4 linked regions of the Drosophila melanogaster genome follow. The protein of the gene in region 1 purifies or fractionates together with the protein of each later gene. This does not show direct contact. Each region holds a gene or a part of one and is shown in the gene's direction. Other genes may lie near its edges.

What was found.
Region 2: the proteins of ecd (region 1) and holn1 purify together in Drosophila melanogaster (affinity purification with mass spectrometry, with the first as the bait; one large-scale study listed by BioGRID). This does not show direct contact.
Region 3: the proteins of ecd (region 1) and HIP-R purify together in Drosophila melanogaster (affinity purification with mass spectrometry, with the first as the bait; one large-scale study listed by BioGRID). This does not show direct contact.
Region 4: the proteins of ecd (region 1) and CG1965 purify together in Drosophila melanogaster (affinity purification with mass spectrometry, with the first as the bait; one large-scale study listed by BioGRID). This does not show direct contact.

Annotation. Positions count from the first base shown.
Region 1 is NT_037436.4:2,263,074-2,267,704, reverse strand, and holds ecd (ecdysoneless), read left to right. Parts: upstream 1-1,847; 5' UTR 1,848-1,929; coding exon 1,930-2,209; intron 2,210-2,282; coding exon 2,283-4,057; 3' UTR 4,058-4,124; downstream 4,125-4,631. Other genes in the region: CG13806 (uncharacterized protein), read right to left, coding at 238-1,101, 1,174-1,203; CG13807 (uncharacterized protein), read right to left, coding at 4,159-4,349, 4,411-4,631. UniProt on the Drosophila melanogaster protein: Required in both the follicle cells and the germline for oocyte development.
Region 2 is NT_033779.5:10,434,211-10,437,825, forward strand, and holds holn1 (hole-in-one), read left to right. Parts: upstream 1-1,784; 5' UTR 1,785-1,875; coding exon 1,876-1,979; intron 1,980-2,038; coding exon 2,039-2,231; intron 2,232-2,296; coding exon 2,297-2,959; 3' UTR 2,960-3,106; downstream 3,107-3,615. Other genes in the region: TBC1D16 (TBC1 domain family member 16), read right to left, coding at 1-1,127. UniProt on the Drosophila melanogaster protein: Required for embryonic epithelial tissue repair, but not for the assembly of the actomyosin cable at the wound edge. Probably acts downstream of rl in the regulation of Ddc and msn transcription to promote wound healing.
Region 3 is NC_004354.4:3,788,381-3,793,027, forward strand, and holds HIP-R (Hsc/Hsp70-interacting protein related), read left to right. Parts: upstream 1-1,588; 5' UTR 1,589-1,696; exon of another isoform or gene 1,697-1,749; 5' UTR 1,750-1,783; coding exon 1,784-1,956; intron 1,957-2,036; coding exon 2,037-2,158; intron 2,159-2,375; coding exon 2,376-3,022; intron 3,023-3,096; coding exon 3,097-3,288; 3' UTR 3,289-4,097; downstream 4,098-4,647. UniProt on the Drosophila melanogaster protein: One HIP oligomer binds the ATPase domains of at least two Hsc70 molecules dependent on activation of the Hsc70 ATPase by Hsp40. Stabilizes the ADP state of Hsc70 that has a high affinity for substrate protein.
Region 4 is NT_033777.3:7,065,801-7,072,124, forward strand, and holds CG1965 (uncharacterized protein), read left to right. Parts: upstream 1-1,600; 5' UTR 1,601-1,709; coding exon 1,710-1,929; intron 1,930-1,987; coding exon 1,988-2,289; coding exon of another isoform or gene 2,290-2,294; intron 2,295-2,907; coding exon 2,908-3,148; intron 3,149-3,205; coding exon 3,206-3,388; coding exon of another isoform or gene 3,389-3,396; exon of another isoform or gene 3,397-3,484; coding exon 3,485-4,138; intron 4,139-4,224; coding exon 4,225-4,773; intron 4,774-4,831; coding exon 4,832-5,024; intron 5,025-5,093; coding exon 5,094-5,417; intron 5,418-5,472; coding exon 5,473-5,524; 3' UTR 5,525-5,824; downstream 5,825-6,324. Other genes in the region: CG1105 (uncharacterized protein), read right to left, coding at 342-497, 1,124-1,238; Ufl1 (UFM1 specific ligase 1), read right to left, coding at 5,922-6,061, 6,116-6,324.

The DNA of each region.
Region 1 (4,631 bases):
AACCAAGACAGTACTAGTCCATTTCTATTGCACTTTTATTGGAAAAAAACAAAGAACTCATTCTGGTTTAATTACCCACGGACATGGTGGTTGAATCTTTATTATCAAACTGATACCTTTTGAAATGGGAATTCATAAATTCATGTCAAATAGATTGTTATTCCAGGGTAAACATGAGTTGTTTATTAAATGTAATCCATTGAAGAGGAATAAATAAAGTGCAGGAATGCATCTTCCTCAGCAGCTTCCCAGGACGCAGGAGGATAGCTCCGGTCGGTAGTAAGTCCCATTGGGGCAGTCCATGTGCCGCAGGGTGCCATTTAGAGCCGAGCAGTAGTAGTACTTCCGGCAGTCGTTTCCATCGGCCATCAAGCCCACGTGCTGACAGGTGTTGGGCAGCACCGAAAAGTCGTCGTCGTTGGGATCCTCGATGATCACCGAAGGATCATCGGTGCTGGGCGGCAGGACATTCGATCCGCTGCGGCAGACGTAGTCCACGAAGGTCTCGCCATCGTTGCACCTGTGCAGCGAGGGGTAGATGACGATGGTGTCGTTCAGGTTCTGGTTAACCGTCGACTTGCACACGTAGAAGATATTGGGATTGGTGGGCCAGGCGGCCACGTGTCCGGCATTGGGGCAGTAGTACTGTCGCTGCAGGCAGACGGAGTCAGTCAGGGTCAAAGTGCACTGGCCAGTCGTCGCATCGAAGGCCTTGTCGTTGCCGCAATCAACGGCAGCAGCCACCAGAGTGGCCCCCACGAAGTAGCACATGTGGTACTTCTGGCAGTCGTACGGATCTGGAAAGATGCCTTGCGAGGTGCACTGAAAGTTGCCCTCGATGCCGAACGGATGACACGGGCCCGTCTCGTTGGTGCAGCTCCCCAGCCGGGCGTTGCAGTAGTATCCATTAGCCACGTCGCACGATTCCACGGGAATGTTCACCCATCCGTTGGAGTGACGCACGCAGGTGGCCAGCAGCTCGCAGGACTCGCAGATGGGCCCGGGACTCTGACGGCCCTCGCAGGAGTTTGTCTCCCGCGGCTGGATGCGCCGGGTGGTAACAGTGGCTCCCATAAGCAGAGCCACCAGGTTGAGCAGTAACTGTTGGGCGGTGGGGACATAAAAATCAAATGCCATTCACTTAAGTTTATCCTATTCTGAAAAACTACCTACCACGCTCACTAGTATTCTTTCCAAGAACATGACGATGTATTTCCCCTTTTGGACTTTGTTTCTGGTTAGTTTAGGTCCAACTTCCACGAGAATCTTCGATTGTCTGATTCAGACTCATATGGTGACAGCAATAAAAGTCCCGAAATAGCAGACTTTAGATAGCGTTTTATATCTTTTGGGTGTCTGTTTGTCTATCTATCAACTTTGAAAAGGCGATGGGAGTTGGGCAAAGTGGCAAACGCAGCGGCGTTTCTAATTACAACAACTACGCGGATCGGAATGCCGCAATGATGGGTGAGTGAACGACATTTACTAAAAATTGGTCCAACTAGCTGGAGTGTCAAGTGGAGTGGGTGTTTAATGTGTAAACAAGTCGGGATTTTGTTTGGCCGACTTATTCAGAGCACTTTAAAGTGCTCTCGAGTAAATATTTAAATACCATTTCTTTCAATAAAACTGACCGCTAGCTTTTGTAAATATGCACTTTTAGTAAAGGAATTTAATGCCTAATCTTCGGTTCATACCTAATCTTCAATCATAAAAAATCGCTGAGAGAAATAACGGGAATGGGTTGGGTCACCGCTAAGCGCTTAGCCACGTCCTCCACCGCTCTGCTGAAGCGGAACCCTGCTGCGCGACCAGTGTGAACGAACTTCTTTGAACGATAGTCAGTTCGGAAGCACGCACTCATGTCGATAGTGTCACCTCGAACGCCCTAACAAATAAAAAAAAGGAGGAGGAGCAAAAGGACAAAGGATGAGCAAGATTCCAGGCAGCAATCTGGAGTTCGTCCGCGAGGAGGACTTCGTGGAGTACTACATCTTTCCCAAGATCCCCGACAACGTACAGGATGAGGGCGCGCTGCGCAAACTGATGCTTCAGATCCGCAACGAGATCTCGGCCATTGTAAGGGAAAAGTCCTTAGAGCGCAGCTATCTGTGGCACAAGGACGAGTTTCAGCTTCAGGTGAGGCTGGGCGGCGCCGAGGAGCGCCTGCTGAACGAGGAGACAAACCCGGAGGAGGAGGCGGAACTGGGTATGCGCACAATGTGCTATAAATAGCTTTGTTTCTGCAATTCGAAATCATCCATTTCCATGTCCCCGCCCAGGCGACCTCCCACCGCACTTCCACGGCGTAACCCACTATGGCGACAACATCAGCGACGAGTGGTTCGTTGTCTATCTGCTCACGGAGATCACACGTGCACGCGGCGACTGCATTGCACGGGTGAGCGATTCGGATGGCGAGTTCCTGCTCATCGAGGCGGCGGACGCCCTGCCCGACTGGGCGTCTCCGGAAACGTGCGAGCAGCGCGTTTATCTGGTCGGTGGTCACCTGCAGCTTCTCCAGAACTCCGCCGCCAGCAGCCAGGACAAGCCACTGACCATGGCCATGGCTGTGCAACGTATACGAATGAATCCCACCCTGTACCGCTGCTCGCAGGAGATACAGTCGTGCATTGACGCGCGGCTTAAGGAGTACCAGATCGCTCAGCCGCACTTCTCCATTCATCGCCAGGTGCTGGAGCTCCCGCATAGCGCTGCACAGCTTCTGAAACAGAAGCCAAGGCTGCTCTCCTCGGCGGTTAGGGCTTTCTGCGAGCGGGACTCGCTGGACATCAAGGCACTTCGCACCATGCGATATTTCCCACCGGAGGCCACACGCGTGCGCACCAACGTGCGTTTCACCCGCTGTCTGTACGCCATGTTGTCGCACCAGCAGTATCTGCCCGAGAAGAGACTCGGCTGGCATCTCACGGATCCTGTATCCGAGCCGGAACGATATAAGGAACAACTATTGGGCTTGAAGCTGGCCAGTGGACTGGAGATCCTGGCCACTCAAGCCAAGCGGGTTGAGGGCCAACAGCTGGAGGACCTTCCTGCCTGGCGATCGTATCTGCGGAGCTTGCTGAGCAAGGGCTACTTCCGGGACAACATCGAGGGCAGTGCCGAGTACCAGGAGCTGCTGAACAAGGCCAAGGTGTACTTTCGTGGCAACCAGGAGCGTTTCCGCACAGCCTCCAGAGCGGGTGCCGAGATCCTCGACCTGTTGCTCCATCCAGCGGAGGCTGCTTCCGAGGAGCTGCGCGATGAGGAGAACAACCTGCAGCCCAGCGACTCGGATGAGTGGTTGAATATCAGCGCTGAGGATCTAGACTCCATGCTGCAGGATCGCTACGGACCCAAGAAGCTCTACAAGCCGAACGGACAAATGAATGCCGAGGAGTTCACCAAGCAGCTGGCGGAGTTCTTAGATCGGCAGTCCAACTACGAGGGCATTGAGCACCGAGGGCTCGAGGAGCCAGAACTGGACTCAGACGATGACGAGCCGCCGCCGCAGGCAAACGGTTCCACAGGACTGACAGCAAAGGTCAAGAAGAATCCCTCCATGCGCAAGGCGTGCCAGCGCAATTCCGTCATCCAGCCGGAGGAACCGGACAGCACCCATGTGCGGAATTTCCTGGATTTCGTAATACCCGAGGACAACTGGGACTCCACCTCGGAGATGAGCGACTACGCGGACGAGGACGACATGGAGAGTAATCTAAATGCACTTTCTGGAGGCGGCAGTGTGTTCCCACTCGATCGACAGATTCAATCGTATATGGAGCAGATGGACCGCGAGTTGGCTCAGACCAGCGTGGGCAAGTCCTTCCACGGCAAGAAGAAGACAGCTCCACAGGCGGACGAGGACGATTTCGATGACATTGAGGACTTTGAGCCCATCAATATAAACGTAAACACGCTGCGCAACATGATGGATAGCTACCAATCGCAGGTTGGCGGCGCAGGTCCTGTATCCAATCTGTTTAGCGCCATGGGCGTGGGCATGTCGGCTGTCGAGGACAAGGAACAAAAGGATATATCTGAGTCGGCCGTTTAAGCGGGATTACAGGAATTAGTATAGTCTTAAGTCCATTAAATAAACGTCAATGTGAATATTTCAATGTAATGCAGAGTATTCTTATTTGATATATTCGATAACTAATCCTTGGATGCAGGCACAAAGTTTCCATAGTCGCGTCTGACCTTCATGGGTGGTTCGTTATTGGGAGTATCATTTCTCTGGTTATGATCATGGGAGCGCTTGTAGCCTCCAGATCCTCCGGACCCTCCGCCTCCTTCGTACCGATTCCGGCGATCGATGTGATCGTATCTGTTGTTGCGCCGGTTGTCTGTGGGAACAAATGCGTTGGTAAGCTATAAATAGAAACTGAGCTTCTTCCCGGGTATTACCCCTGAATCCCCTGTCCTGGTTGTTGTGGTAGCCAGCTCCTCCTCGTCGCTGCCAGCCCCTGTCGCCGCCTCCTCTGCGATGTCCGTTGTAGCGATTGTGGTAGGGATGACCACCGCCTCCTCCGCCCTGGAAGCCGCCTCCTCCTCCGCCACCTCCCATCCAGTTCTCCACAATTGGCGGCTCCGGCACAGGCTTGCTGCAGTGCGCCATGAACTCTGGG
Region 2 (3,615 bases), on another chromosome or scaffold:
TCCTCGATCTGTCCCTTCTCATTGAGCAGCGTGCCGTAGAAAAAGTTCGTTGTTATCTTCTTGACATCGCCCTCGTCCGGATGCATTTCCGATTTCTTAACCTCCGGCCGACAGACCATGAAGTGCCTGTACGGCAAATCGAATTTATCCTGGCCCGTTTCCGATGTGATGTTGTGCAGAAAGCAGTGCCACTGGTGCAGCACCTGGGCCAGGTGATCCAAGCCACCGTAATGGAAATGTAGAATCTTGTACTGCGACTCCCGCGACGCGATCACCAGCTGACCCGAAGTGCAGTTGTCGTCATTGAAGAAAAGGCGCAGAGATCGCATTTGGCTTAGGTCAACGGAGAAATGGCGGCACTTCATCGCGGATTTTTGGCGATCGGCTGGCGTCGAATTGCCGCTATCCGGGAACTCCAGGTTGTGCTTGAAGGCCAGCAGTTCAGGTGTTGTCCACTTTGGGTTATCGGTTGCCGGGCCATCGCCTACTCCAGAACCATTCGTGCAATCGGAGCAATTGTTACTATCCGGCCGGATGGTGATGCAGTTGAAGGACTGCGATATATTGCTGTTCTCGATCTGCGGATTGGAGATCGTTATGTTCACCGACGTGATGGGGTTATTCTTCAGCAGAGCGGTCAAGTCGTCTATGGATGCAGCTTGGCCACCCAGCAGCGGTTGCAGTTCGTTCTTTAGCTCCTGCATATCCGCCGCGTTCTCATCCTCCTCCCGAATGTCCCTCTCCTGGATCGTCTGCGGTATGGTCACGTGGCAGTAGCCGTTTCGAGAGTCCGGCGACTTGCTCCTCGGATTACACTGACCCCGGCAATCGTCGGCATTCAGATTGGTATACTTGCATAGCGACGAGTTCGGTATCCAGGTGAGCAGAAGCGTGGGCCTCTTGGCGCTATTATACTGATCTACAAAGGTCTTTGTCGTGCAGGTCAAATAGCCCGGATTGTGCAGTATATCCGACTCATCGCGGGCGATTGTGGGCGGATGGATGCAGACGTTATTCTTGCAGAAGAGGATTTCGTTGTCTTCGTAAGCAATATCGATTTTTCTGTCCAATCTCTCGTCGCCCAGTATGAAACTAGAAGCCTTTTTGATAATGCTTCCTATGGGCATGGTCTCGAATTTGATATCCTTGAGCGGGTAACTACTATATGGTGAATTATAGGTTTCCTTCCCGGAGTTATCCTAACGGATTTACTAGTGGGCGGATGGGGAACTTTTTTCTCTGGTTAGCTTCTGGTTTGGCGGATTTTTGTTTGATTATGGCGGTCGCTGGTTACCATAATTTTAGGAATTGGTTGGCTAAACCTTTGATTCGACAATTAATTGTAACACAGCGGATTGGTGAAAAAAAAAACTATTAACTTTTGATTCTAGGGACCTCTCACAAGCAGGATGACATTGGAGGAAAAGAATTTACGCGAAAACTCAGCGCAGGCGCAGTTAACAGTCGATGGTTTTAAGACTGGTTTCGATATTTAATACTTTAAAAATGTTGAGGATTTATTAATTCAAACTGCAATGAAAAGGTATATTTTTAATAACAATGATAATATATTAAATGCGAGTAGGTGTATATTAATATCTTCTTATTCAGCTTGCAAATCAATCAAATCTAAGTCTATTTCTATAAGCTTTCTTCACATAATCATACTATATATCAAATGGAATACAAAACATATTATATATACATTAATTAAATATAATTTAAATAAATTTTAGAAACTACAGGAACATTGGTATTGGAACAGCATATGTTCCAGCTATCGATATCAGACTTACCTTCACTAACGTAAATAGAATCAATAGTCGCTTAAAAATATTGACATTGCATTTAGTTTTGTCTTGAGTTCTTGATAAAATGGCGAGCAAAAGAAAGCACCAAGCATCCCAGAAAGTGAAAGAGGAATCCTTCAAGAAACACACGCTTGACTCCGATGAAGAGGATTCTGACGACTACGAAAGGTAATGCTTAAAATGTGCAAACAATTGATTGTTTTGATTTCGGCACTTTTTGTTTGCAGGGAATACCTCAATGATAGCGACATTGAGGGCGGCGAGGAGGGCGTGGCAAAAGTGGAAGACGATGTGAAGGTAACACCCTTCAATATGAAGGAAGAACTGGAGGAGGGACACTTCGACAAAGATGGTCACTACCATTGGAACAAGGAGACGGAAGCAAAGGACAATTGGTTGGACAACATAGACTGGGTTAAAGTAAGGATTCCATCACTGCTGCCTGTACACAATCATTTAATTTAAAAGCAATATTTGCCTAACAGATTGGCACACAGAAGAACGCCTTCGACCCGGCAAAAGATGAAGAAAACTCTTCCGATGAGGAGAAGAACGAACCCGTGGGCAAGGCCTTTAACTTGTCCATGAACCTCATGAAAATGGTCGAGTTTATGAAACCGGGAGAGACTGTCAAGATGACCCTGCAGCGTCTGGGTAAGCAGCGCCCCGTCCTAACAACCCTTCAGAGGATTAAGCAGAAAAAGGCCGGCATCGTTGACCCAAAGACACAGGAAATCTCTCAGCTCACCGAGCTGGCCAACGAGATTCTCTCGAAGACGGGCAATATGGATATATATCAGGATACGTACGAAAGCATCAAGGCCAAGATCGCCGATTTGCCAGGAACGAGCAAACCTAAAGTAGCCGATGATATTGATATGTATGCAGATGATTTCGAAACGAAAGAATTGGAGCGCTCTAAGACATCGTCGAGTGATAGCTCCAAACCAACGACGACTACCTCAGAGGTGACCTGGGAGTTTAAATGGTCGCAGGATGAGACTGATATCCAGGGACCCTTTTCCACGGAGAAAATGTTGAAATGGTCCCAGGAGAACTACTTTAAAAACGGAGTCTATGTGCGAAAGTGCGGCGAAAACACAAATTTCTATACAAGCAACCGCATAGATTTCGATTTGTACTTGTAGGCCTTAGTTAACAAATGTTAAATTCTTTGGGTTTTAACATGTTTTCTGCAAATACTTTGTTCTATAATTGTATACTGTATACTTTACAAGAGGTTTCAATTAGTTTGCACTTGGTTTGGACTTAAAATAAAATTCATATTCATATTGATTCTGTCGGCTCTTAAATTTGGTCAGATATACCAAATTATGTATCCGAGTTACTTGCGCTAGTGACGAATAGCGAAAGATTCTTCTATTAGACCCACTAGTTCAGTAAGAGATATCTGATAGTCGAGAAACTCGAAAATGGCACTGTTGTTTTTGAAATGTGCAAACGATAGTGTGGCAAAAGTATCGTTTGGGCGGTGATAGTGCAATCGATGAATGTGCAGCTTTAATTTAAGCTTGTGAGTCTTGGCAACTCTAGAAACACATCGATTAACGTAGCTGAAAATTGTTTTATGTTTAATTAAATACAGGCGAATAGCTCAAGATCTTTTTGGTGTTATGAGCGTTCAAAAGTCACTACCGTTTCCCACTTAATACTTTGTTAACTGTTAAGTTCGTGCAGCAGTTCCCCAATTCTTGCAGAGGAAACAAATTTACGAGTGCTTCGGTGTTGTTGGACACACACTCACTTTTCATCGGTGGAAAATCAAATTTGGGACCAGGCGCAG
Region 3 (4,647 bases), on another chromosome or scaffold:
AAAACCAGCAAAAAAACATAAAAAACCAGAAGAACCATTTCAGATTTGTATGCAAATTTGTATATGTACGTACTTTCCTTTAATTTTAGCCAATCAGTTTGTAAGATTAAATTTTTTTTTTGCATCTCTATAAAGAATAATGATATGAGGATAATGATTCCGATTTTTTTTTCCGTTTAATGTAACCGTTAGAATTAGCCCATAATGGTCGATATCTAAATGTGTGTGTATATCGATGTGATGTCATCGATTGTCGATAACGATTGGATGCGAGTGTGTGTTAATTTAATTTGATAAAAGATAAAGGAAAGCAAGGAATGTGAAGATAATGAAAGGAGATGCATAGAGAATGAGAGCGAATCTATCTATTATATAATTATGTAAAATGCACATCTTTAAATTATAAATTATACATATTTAAAAGGAAACTATTATTATTATTTTGATTACCATTATCATTATTTTTTATTATCACTTAACGGTTTCGGTTTGATCCACAGCGAAACCAACAACAACCAAGAAACAGAAACAACAAAAAGAGAAACAAAATAAACAAGCGAAATGTTTGATAAAAAAAACCACGAGATGTTTTAATTTATTTGTCTTTAATTCTTCGATTTTATTGAGTTTTTCATAGAGAAAGTTGTCACACTCAAGAACACACACGCAAGCGTATAAAGCTAAACAAATTAATACCTACTAAGTGTTTAAATAGTACTAAACGAATCAAAATATAAATACTTAAAAAGAAAAAAAAACGAAAATAAAAATAAAAACAGCAGCAGAAAAAAACGATGAGACAGTTGAGCAGACGAGAAAAACAAAGCCCATTAAATTATTTGTTGAGTATTTTATTAAAAAATAATTACGATAATAATTAAAAAGTTTAAATTGAACGAATTACGAAAAACAAACTGAATATACATATATGTGTGCATATATACATATATGTATGTATTATATATAAACAAATTATTTAATAGTTATGCTAAAAAATTATTTAAAGTGAACGGATATGAAAAATATTTGTATGCGTGCGAGCACGGAGAGAAGGGCACTCAGAATAGGCCATCGACACCACCCACTCCCTTCCGATACCCGAACATCACCACCAGTTTTCACCATTTTCTGACCCTTAACCCCTTCAACCAGACACACACCAAACACAAGAAAAGGCGAAGAAAGCCGAAAAAAAAACAATGCAAACACGAAATAGGCGGCGACGACAGAGATAAGCGCGAAGAAGATACTAAATCAATAAGTAAACATAAAAATTAATTAATAAATTAATTCCAAAACAAAATGAAAAAAGCTAAAAAAAAAACATCAAGAAAACAAAAGACAAAAGCAAACAAAAAACATGACGAAACATTGAAAATAAAAAAATACTAAAATGATTAACAGAAAACTGTTTTAATGTCAATGGGGGCAGACATAAACTTCTTCAGCAATAGTTATGGACTTAATTGTGGCTCATTACATTCTCGATCCTATGTGAATATATATGTATTTAGTTTTGGGGTATGTGGCGGAAAATGGCTGTTATCTTTTTAAAAGTTGTCACATTTTCCAGCACTATCGTACGCACAAAATACTGAAAAATACAAGAGCGAAGCGATAAATACCGTCGATTAATTCTCAGTACTTTTTCATGGTATTTATGCATACCAATCGATAGGGCAGAGCAAAAGTGGACGTAAAGCTAAGCAAATATTGCTTATTAATAATATTAATATATTAATATATCAGATCTGAAAACATCGAGACAAAACGGAATTCAGAAATGGCTTTCACAATGCAAACCGGGGATCTGAAGAAGCTGAAGTACTTCATCGACTTTGCGCTTGAGAATCCCACCTTCTTGAACATGCCGCAGCTGCAGTTCGTCAAAGATTTCGTGGAGAAGTTTGGTGGCACGGTGCCGCCTGGCCAATTCAACGGTGGCAGCGCCGGAGGGTAAGTTAACCGAACTATTTGACCAATTTTCAAAACAACACGATTGTATGATTTGCTCATCCCGCGGCTTGTTCTTCCAGCAAGTGCCCATTCGGCGGTGTTGCTGGTGCCAAGGCCAACGAGCCGGCCAATGCCCCCGAGGATAGCGAGGACGAAAAGTCCCTCTCCGATCCTGAGTCGGACGTGGAGCTGGACATGGAGGGTGAGTGTGCAAATTTTGCCGAGTCACGTGGTCATTGGGGGTCACAACCCTGGACTTTGATGCGTTGCTGTCGCAGTGCTGGCAGTTGCTTTATCTTATATCCTTTCGACACTGCAAACTTAGCGTTTACCCAAATTCGAATCCTGCAGTATTAATATATGTAATACGCCAATTAAAACTATGTATCTTCTATCCGTATTACTTCCGACGCCTTCAGGTGTGATCGAGGCGGACAGCGACCCCGCCCAACCCATGGGCAACTACAGCAAGAAGGCCACCGAAGAGGAGGTGGAGCAGGCGAGCGAGCTGCGCGCCCAGGCGGCCTCCGCTTACGGCCAGCAGAAGTTCGACGAGGCCATCGCCTTGTACACCAAGGCCATTGAACTGAGCCCGGGTAATGCCCTTTTCCACGCTAAGCGTGGTCAGGCCTTCCTCAAGCTGAAGAAGCCGAATGCCTGCATTCGGGACTGCGACGTGGCGCTGGAACTCAACTCGGATTTGGCGGCTGGCTACAAGTTCAGGGGACGCGCCCGTCGCCTCCTCGGAGATTTTGAGCTGGCTGCCCATGATTTGCGCCAAGCATGCAAGCTGGACTTTGACGAGGAGACAGACGAGTGGCTAAAGGAGGTCACTCCGAATGCCAAGAAAATCGAGCAGCATCGCTTGAAGCAGGAGCGTCGCCAGGCAGAGCGTAAGATCAAGGAACGCCAGCGGGATCAGAGGCGCGCACGTAAGGAGCAGGAAAAGCACAATGCCAGCTCTGGTGGATCATCTGGAGAATTTTCCGGTGGGAATCCTGGTAACGGAAATATGTCTGATATACTGGGCGCCATGTCAGATCCCGAGGTGTCAGCCGCCATTCAGGTTCGTGAATACTACTTTTCTATTTCTAATACAAATGCAGTAATCATATCGTTGTTATTTATTAACTTTCGTAGGACATTTTGTCAAATCCGGGTAACATCACAAAGTACGCGTCGAACCCGAAGATATACAACCTTATCAAGAAGATTGTGCCCGGTGGAGATGTGGGTGCTGCCTTTGGCCAAGCGGGTGAAAAGGCTGGAAAGCCGAGCGAGCCTAAGCCTAAAAAGGACTCCGCCGACTTCGTCGATGACGGTTTGGACTAAGGTTTAGAAATGGGGCAGTAGTAAGACTGAAACATGCGTCGATAAAAAGAAGTTAACAACCAATTACACGAAATCGAGCGAGATTACAAAACAACAAAGAAAGAGAAAGCAACAGAGTGCGGTGAAGAAGATGGACTACACGAAAAACAAAAGGGAAAGCGGCTGCCTTACACATTTTTGCAGCTGAGAAAAAACAAACATTTCCTAAGCTTTAACTTAACCAACACGTAAAAGAACGGGCGACAATGGAGAAAATTCAAATATTCAAAATACTACAAGCAGTCAGAAGAATAAGCAACATTTATTTAAATCGAGAAGAAAGAGATGTTGGAGATGCTGGAGACGCTTCTTCACATATTATTGAAAAGCATACTTGCGGCCATTAAAGTGGCAAATGAAACTATACAAAGGAGCTAGAATATGCTTAAAAACTTATCACATTTGCAGTTCACAGGTAAATCAAAAGATTGTCCTGTGACGAACAAAACATAAATGTTTAGACGTCAAGTCAGATTCAAGGGTGCCGATCGATCTAGTTGAACTAAAGCTCGAGAAACAACCAAAAGAAAATAAAAAATATATATATGTTCAATAATATTAGCCTAAATTACCGAGAACGAAGAAACGGATAAAACTAATCGCATCATTTGGTCAAACAAAATTGTACTGAGTAGGATTTAAATCATATTGTAAGCAAATGCATTTAGCCCCCCAACATGAAAGCAATCGCCCATTCATTCACACACTCATTCACACACTCATTCAACCAGTGATCAATGGAAATAAATAAACGAATCAACAAGAACCCGAATTGCTAATGTCCATATTTTTTGGTAAACGGGTAAAAGGGGAGATACTTTTGCTTTTTTTTCGAGCGGGTTGGACAGATGGAGCCGTAGTCCCTTAAACTATCCGGCGCATCACCTGTGTGGGTTGCTCACTTTGTATGAAGGACATTGGGTACGCATGGTGTATGAAAGCGTCGATTAGACGCTTCAATGGCTGCACCCTGCACCCTGGATCCAGAACCTATCTACCGCACCCCGCCCCATGTCAGCGCGAAATTGGCTAACGGACAGCTTGGCGCACATGTTCGATTATGGCCAAATCGAGCGACCAAGCAGAACCAGCGGCACATGACCTGGGCTCAGCGATGCCAAGACCTGGGTGGTTGTACCTAGAGGTACTTGATTGCTTTTTAAACTCAGCTTGGTACAGCGTACACGACTGATTATTTAGAAGCTATGACAGCTTTCTTTGCTTTGATATTTTTCATATTTATATATAAATTATAAATATATATTTATAAGCAGGTGATATGGTTGAAACATATATCAACGAATATGTCAAATATAATAC
Region 4 (6,324 bases), on another chromosome or scaffold:
GGAAGGGTCTGTCAAGGTATATTATTTAATAAAGCTAAATAAAAACATTAAATTATTGTAGTTTCAAAAGGAGAAGTTATTAATGCTATAAGGTGTATAGTAATTACAAGATTTAGTTATTATTTTATATAGAGCGAGGAAGTGCAATCCCATTTATTCGATTCATATAAGGACAAATTTAATTTTAAACAAAAATCTTCTTGGCCAATTCTTACACCATAGAATACAAAAATTTATGCTTAATAATAGACACTTTCAATAATTAAATCCTCCAATTCTTTTCAGATAAACTAAGGTCTGGCAACCGGGGAGTGAATTCCCGGTCTGTTTTTTGTACTTACTGTTTTTGCCGCCCAGCAGATAGTACTGGATCTTAAAGTACTCCTCATGCCCCTTCAGTTGGGTGACCTCGTTCTCGGTCTTGCCCTCGCTGGTGGTTACGCTCTTCTCCTCTGACCACTCGGTGTTGGCTTCTCCCAGGAACCGAATGATAATACCTACGAGAAACAAGTGGCTGTATTTACGGAATGACAATCGACGACGTCACTGTGGCGCTTTAATTTTAGCTATAAATAATATGAAAAGCTTTCTAAGGCATACTCAACGGATGACATCATCGCTACCAGGCAGCATCTGTCTCCCGTGTTTGGTGACCTCAAAATTTGATTATGGTGGAATGTTTGCCACATAGGTTACATGCCCCCGTCAAATGTACTACATATTTATTTACTTTCTTTTGTATTCATTCACACTTGGAGCTATTTATAGTTGTTATCGCCCAACTGAAAAGAGGAGAAAGTGCATTTCTTTGGAGGGTTTAACAACCGCCAGCTTTCTGAAAACAAGGTCGTTTAGGCACCGAAAGAGCAACCGACATTTGTGGGTGGTGCGCCGGCTTTTTGCGTCAGGATTTTAAGAAGTTAGCAAGGAAACTACCAACGACAGCCAGTGAACATCCTGCACATTGAAGACGAAAGTGCTATGTATATTTATTTACTAAATTTCCAATTAATCATTGACTCTTACACAGGTGTCGTCACTCCTATGAGTAATAGTAAGCAGCTGGGGTTTTAATTAGCATTCTCCAGCGCTGCCCACAATTGGGACTTGGATTCGCACTTACCTCGGACTTTTTTGGGCGAGTCGAACGTAAACTTCACCTGGCCGTTGACCGTCTGACCGGCGTAGTAGGTGTTCCACGGGTTGTCCAATTGCAATTCACAACCTTTAAGGCCCATGTTAGAGATTCTGTGACTCAAGGCACCAATAAGTTAACGACTTTTCGGTCTGTTTTGAAACGCCCTGCGGTCGCCGAATTCAGAGATTAGAGATGGCCGTTGTCGGTATCTAGGGATGAAAAGTCATCTAAGCTCTTGCCGATATTTTAATAAGACCAGTTTTATGTGTAGCTGCCCTGGGTATACAAATTAATGTATTTATCACATTTTTATTTAATTGTTACAATAGTTTCAAAATTTGTAAAGCTATTCATATTTTCAATACAGAAAAGTTTTGTAAGTGCTAGACCGAGGACCGAGAATTAACGTTCCAGCCCTGCTCGTGACTCACGTGAGCACGAGAACGACATCGAAAGATTTTCATCTCTATTACAATACGACAGCAAGAAGAAGAGATCTTGCGAAAATTCGCTTTTCTTCCGATTTTTCATTGATTAAACAAATCGCAGAGTAACAACAACATCGTGGAAAATGTCGCTTTTTCGCAAACCGAAGAAAATTCAGCGACGCGTGTTCTCCAGCAACGCTGACGAAGAGGAGGACGGCGCATCCTTGGATCCGGACGCCGAAATGGAGGCGCCACCGCCTCCCATAATTTCGGGCAAGAGGGAGAAAGAGAAGAGCCGGAAGGCCATAAAGCCGCAGGAGGACAACAGCAAGCCAAAGGCGCTGCTCAGCTTCGCAGATGATGGTGAGTGATACCGGAATATAAAAAGAGTATGGAGCCAAAATCCCCAATTCTTTTGCAGAGGATGACGGCGAGGTGTTCCAGGTGCGAAAGTCGTCGCATAGCAAGAAAGTGATGCGCATGCTGGACAAGGAACGCCGCAAGAAGAAGCGCGAGGAACGGGCGGAAAACAGCGGACATCCCGGGGGCGAAAATGGTAGTACACAGCATTTAGAGTCGTCCGGTGGCCCATCATCGGGTCCCCCGAATTCCAACTCGAATCCTGCCAATGCTGGCAGATATAAAAGTGCCAGCGATCAGAGTAAAAGTAAAAAAAGTGATAATCATATGATCCAAACCGAAATACGCACAGACGACTTTGTGGTAAGGTTATTATTATTCAATTTCTTCTACAATAATACCGTTTAACGAAATTTCAACATCAGAAATTACATTGAATTATCGTAGAACAATTAGCAGCAAAGATTAGGCTGAATGAGTTTAAATGTGTTATTAAATTAGTTGGTTTTTCTGGTCTGAAGTGCCAATTTTAAAATATTAGTAGCTTAGACGTTGATTTGCTTGGCGTTTTAACTGGTCAGTGATGGGAAGTGTCTAGGATCTGCGATCCAACTATCACTCAACATAAAATTTCCAATTATAATGCGATCTTTAAGTACTACTACTGTAACTATGACCACGAATTAGAAAATTTATCACAGAACATTCTAACTCATTCTTTCTTTGATAATAAATTGACGCATACAACTTGACCTTACCAGAAGAAAACTATTTAAATATTATGTAACATTCAAAGATATATTTTTTGAATTACCAAAAATCAAAGCCATTGCTAACGTAGTCACATAAATAGTAATTTTCCCACCATTGATAGTCGCATGTCTTCCCTTCCACAAAAGCAGCATGAATACCAATGCTTCACCCTAATCGAAGTCCTTTAGGAATCCACAATAATATAAAACTTACTTATCTTGTCCCCAGCTAGTGGTAAAGAAATCTGAGACTCCCGAGGCAATTCTGAACGGTAGAGCTGCCCTTTGCGCTGGACGGGAGGATATGAGCGATGAAGAAGACCAGCAATCCGAGGATGGTGGCCATGACAAAACGCGTCACCGTTTCTCCAAGCCAGAACATTTGAAACAGATGCTCGAAAGTGGTTCCATTCCGGATGCAGCAATGATACACGCTGCCCGAAAACGTCGGCAAAGGGCTAGAGAACAGGGTAAGATTCGACACGTTGCCACACTAGCGATGGCTTACTCTTTGTGTTATATTCCAGGTGCAGGCGACTATATACCTATTGAGGAGCCCAAGGAGCCGGCCAAGCTAAGCAACCGTCTGCCCTGCGAAGATGTTGAGGGTGATCAGTCGGATGATGAAGAACGCATGGACATGAACGATATTACGGGACGCAAAGAGCGTGAAGAGCGGCGCGAGCAATTTTATGCTGTCGAAAATGATTGTATGTAGAGGGACCAAGTCCGATTTGTGACCAGAGCCAGGCTAATTACAGGTGAAGTTTTTAGACTATTGTTAACCTTTGCTCACTCCTCTGCAGCCACCGACGGAGATTCAGATCGCGAGATGAACGAGTGGGAAAACCAGCAGATCCGCAAGGGTGTTACGGCAGCCCAGTTGGTCCATTCTCAGCATGAAACAGTGCTCTCCCGTTTTATGATCAAGCCTGCCCCGTCGGGCATCGGAACCGGCATGGACGACGGAGATTCAACAGCGGCACAGTCCACGTCCACTCTGCTGGAGCAGGCCTATGCTAAAAATGCCCTTGAGCGCACCAACTTAGCCGCAGCAGTTCGATCATCCGTCAAAACCAAGAAGGAAAAGGCCAAGGCTACAGCATTGCGAACTCCTCAGGAAATCCTAGCTGCCATTCAATCGCGTCTTAGCGAGCTTAAAGAGCGGTCGGCTGATCACAGCGCTAGTATGGCCAGGATTAGTACAGAACTAAAGGCATTAAAGCTCCAGCAGTTAGAGTGCCAGCAGAATGCACCGACAGCGGCCGCAAAGTACAAGTTTTACCAAGAAATAAAGTGCTATGTGAATGACCTTGTCGATTGCCTCTCGGAAAAAGCGCCAGTAATATACGATCTTGAGAAGCGTGCACTGCAACAGTATGGCAAAAATCAACGTTATTTGGTAAACAGACGGAGGCAGGATGTACGTGATCAGGCCAAAGAAATCGCCGAATCAGCAAGTATGAGAATTTTGTTTTTAGTCTTGTCTTAGGGAAAATAATTCGATTATTAAACTATATTAATATGTTCAATCTTCTGCTTTTAGAACCTATAACAGCTGCCTCCCGCCGAACACCTGATTATGAAGAACAAGTTCGCCGCGCAGCGGAACGGGAGGGTCGGAGGACACGTCGCCGATGCGAGCGCGAGCGCAATGATCTGCTCTCGTCCCACCTGGATGGCATGTCAAGCGACGATGAAATTGCCGATCAACAGCAGGAACTGAGTGTGACTACGATGGCGCAGATAGAATCACAGTCGGTGGACGCCCTTGAAGACGTTACCGACGACTTTAGCAAGATCGAGCTAATACTAATGAAGTTTTTTGCCTGGCGTAAAACTGACATGTCGTCATACCAGGACGCATTTGTTAGCCTGTGCCTTCCAAAAGTCTTGGCTCCGCTGGTGCGACACGAACTTGTTCTTTGGTCGCCACTGCTGGACGTGTATGCGGATATAGAAAATATGCGTTGGTATCAGGCCTGCATGCTTTATGCCTCCCAGGCAGATGAAACCGTGGAGCAGCTGAAAATCGATCCGGATATCAATCTGGTGCCGGCGCTCATCGAAAAGATTGTGCTGCCCAAGGTGACTGGTGAGTTTTACACATTAAAAAAAAACGCGAAGCGGGGTAATAAATGAATGTTTTTTAGCTCTGGTCACAGAATGCTGGGATCCATTATCTACCACACAGACCCTGAGATTGGTTGGGTTCATCAATCGATTAGGTCGCGAGTTTCCCTTGAGCGGCACAAATAAGCAGCTTAACAAACTGTTTGAATCCATCATGGAACGCATGCGGTTAGCCCTAGAAAATGATGTATTTATACCCATTTTTCCAAAGCAGTAAGTATATTATTCTTGCAAAAGATTGGCCATCATGGTCTTAATTACCGCTTTTTGTTTGAACTTTAGAGTGCAAGAGGCGAAGACCTCATTCTTTCAGAGGCAGTTTTGCAGTGGTCTAAAGCTGTTTCGAAATTTCCTAAGCTGGCAGGGCATCCTGGCTGATAAGCTACTGCGTGAGCTGGCGATTGGAGCCCTTCTGAATCGTTACCTGTTATTAGCTATGCGAGTCTGCACGCCAAACGATGCCATAAACAAAGCTTACATCATTGTAAATACCCTGCCTACAGTCTGGTTGTTACCGAACAGCGAGACCCTCAAGAACATGGAACTTTTTATAGGATATATTAAACAAACATTAGAGAACTGTGATGCAAGCAATCCAATCTTTATGTAAGTAATGAAACTCACTTTTGAGAGTTAAAAGCAATCATTTCCCTTTTTGCAGGCAATCCAGCGATAAAGCCAAGCAAATACTTCAAAGACTACATAGTTTATAAAGTGTAGGGACAAACATCGCTCACATCAATCCTAACAATCAAATACTCGTTATAAAGAAATGCACAACTTATATCGGTCTGTTAGAAAATATTGTATATAAGTAGCTTCGTAAGAGATTTATTTAATTCAAGCTTGAGCTTAACAAACTAAATGGAGAACAGCCCTTCCAAACTAATCAATTTTAAATCGTTTTTCCAACAACCCAAACCTTCGAAAGTGATAAAGCTAGGAACTCTGTTTAAGGCTCATCGTTTTGTAACTTCATGCATAGCAGTAATAAAAACAATTTATAAACTATGAAAATTTAACAAATGCAAAATCTATTGCAGACCAGAACCAATTTACATAGACGCAATTTAATGACATGGGAAGAAAGATTGGAATATAGGAGCATCATCAATCAGCCTTAGAAATCGATGCACGTGAAAAGTTTTGAGCTAGCTCCACCACTTGATTCTGCATTGTCTGCAAATGTTCGTTGGCCAGTTTTGACTCATTGCTATCGGGAATGGCCTGCAGAACTTGCAGGACCAAATCTGAAATGTATGTAAGAATTAGGTAAAACGCAAATTATGGTTGCAAAAACTCACCGTGATACCGAAGCAACAGAGCATTCTGGTCCTCGTTTAGTGAGCCGCGAATATGCTGCAGTATGGCAGAAACGAATTTTCCGGACGCGTGCAAAATGCTACCAGTGATCGTGGTGAACAAGATCAGTGCAGCCAGGTGCAGCAGCAGTGCCGGCTCGTTGCACTCTAGTAGCTGCTTCTGCAGCTTCTTTTTGTGGTCTGCGATGAGC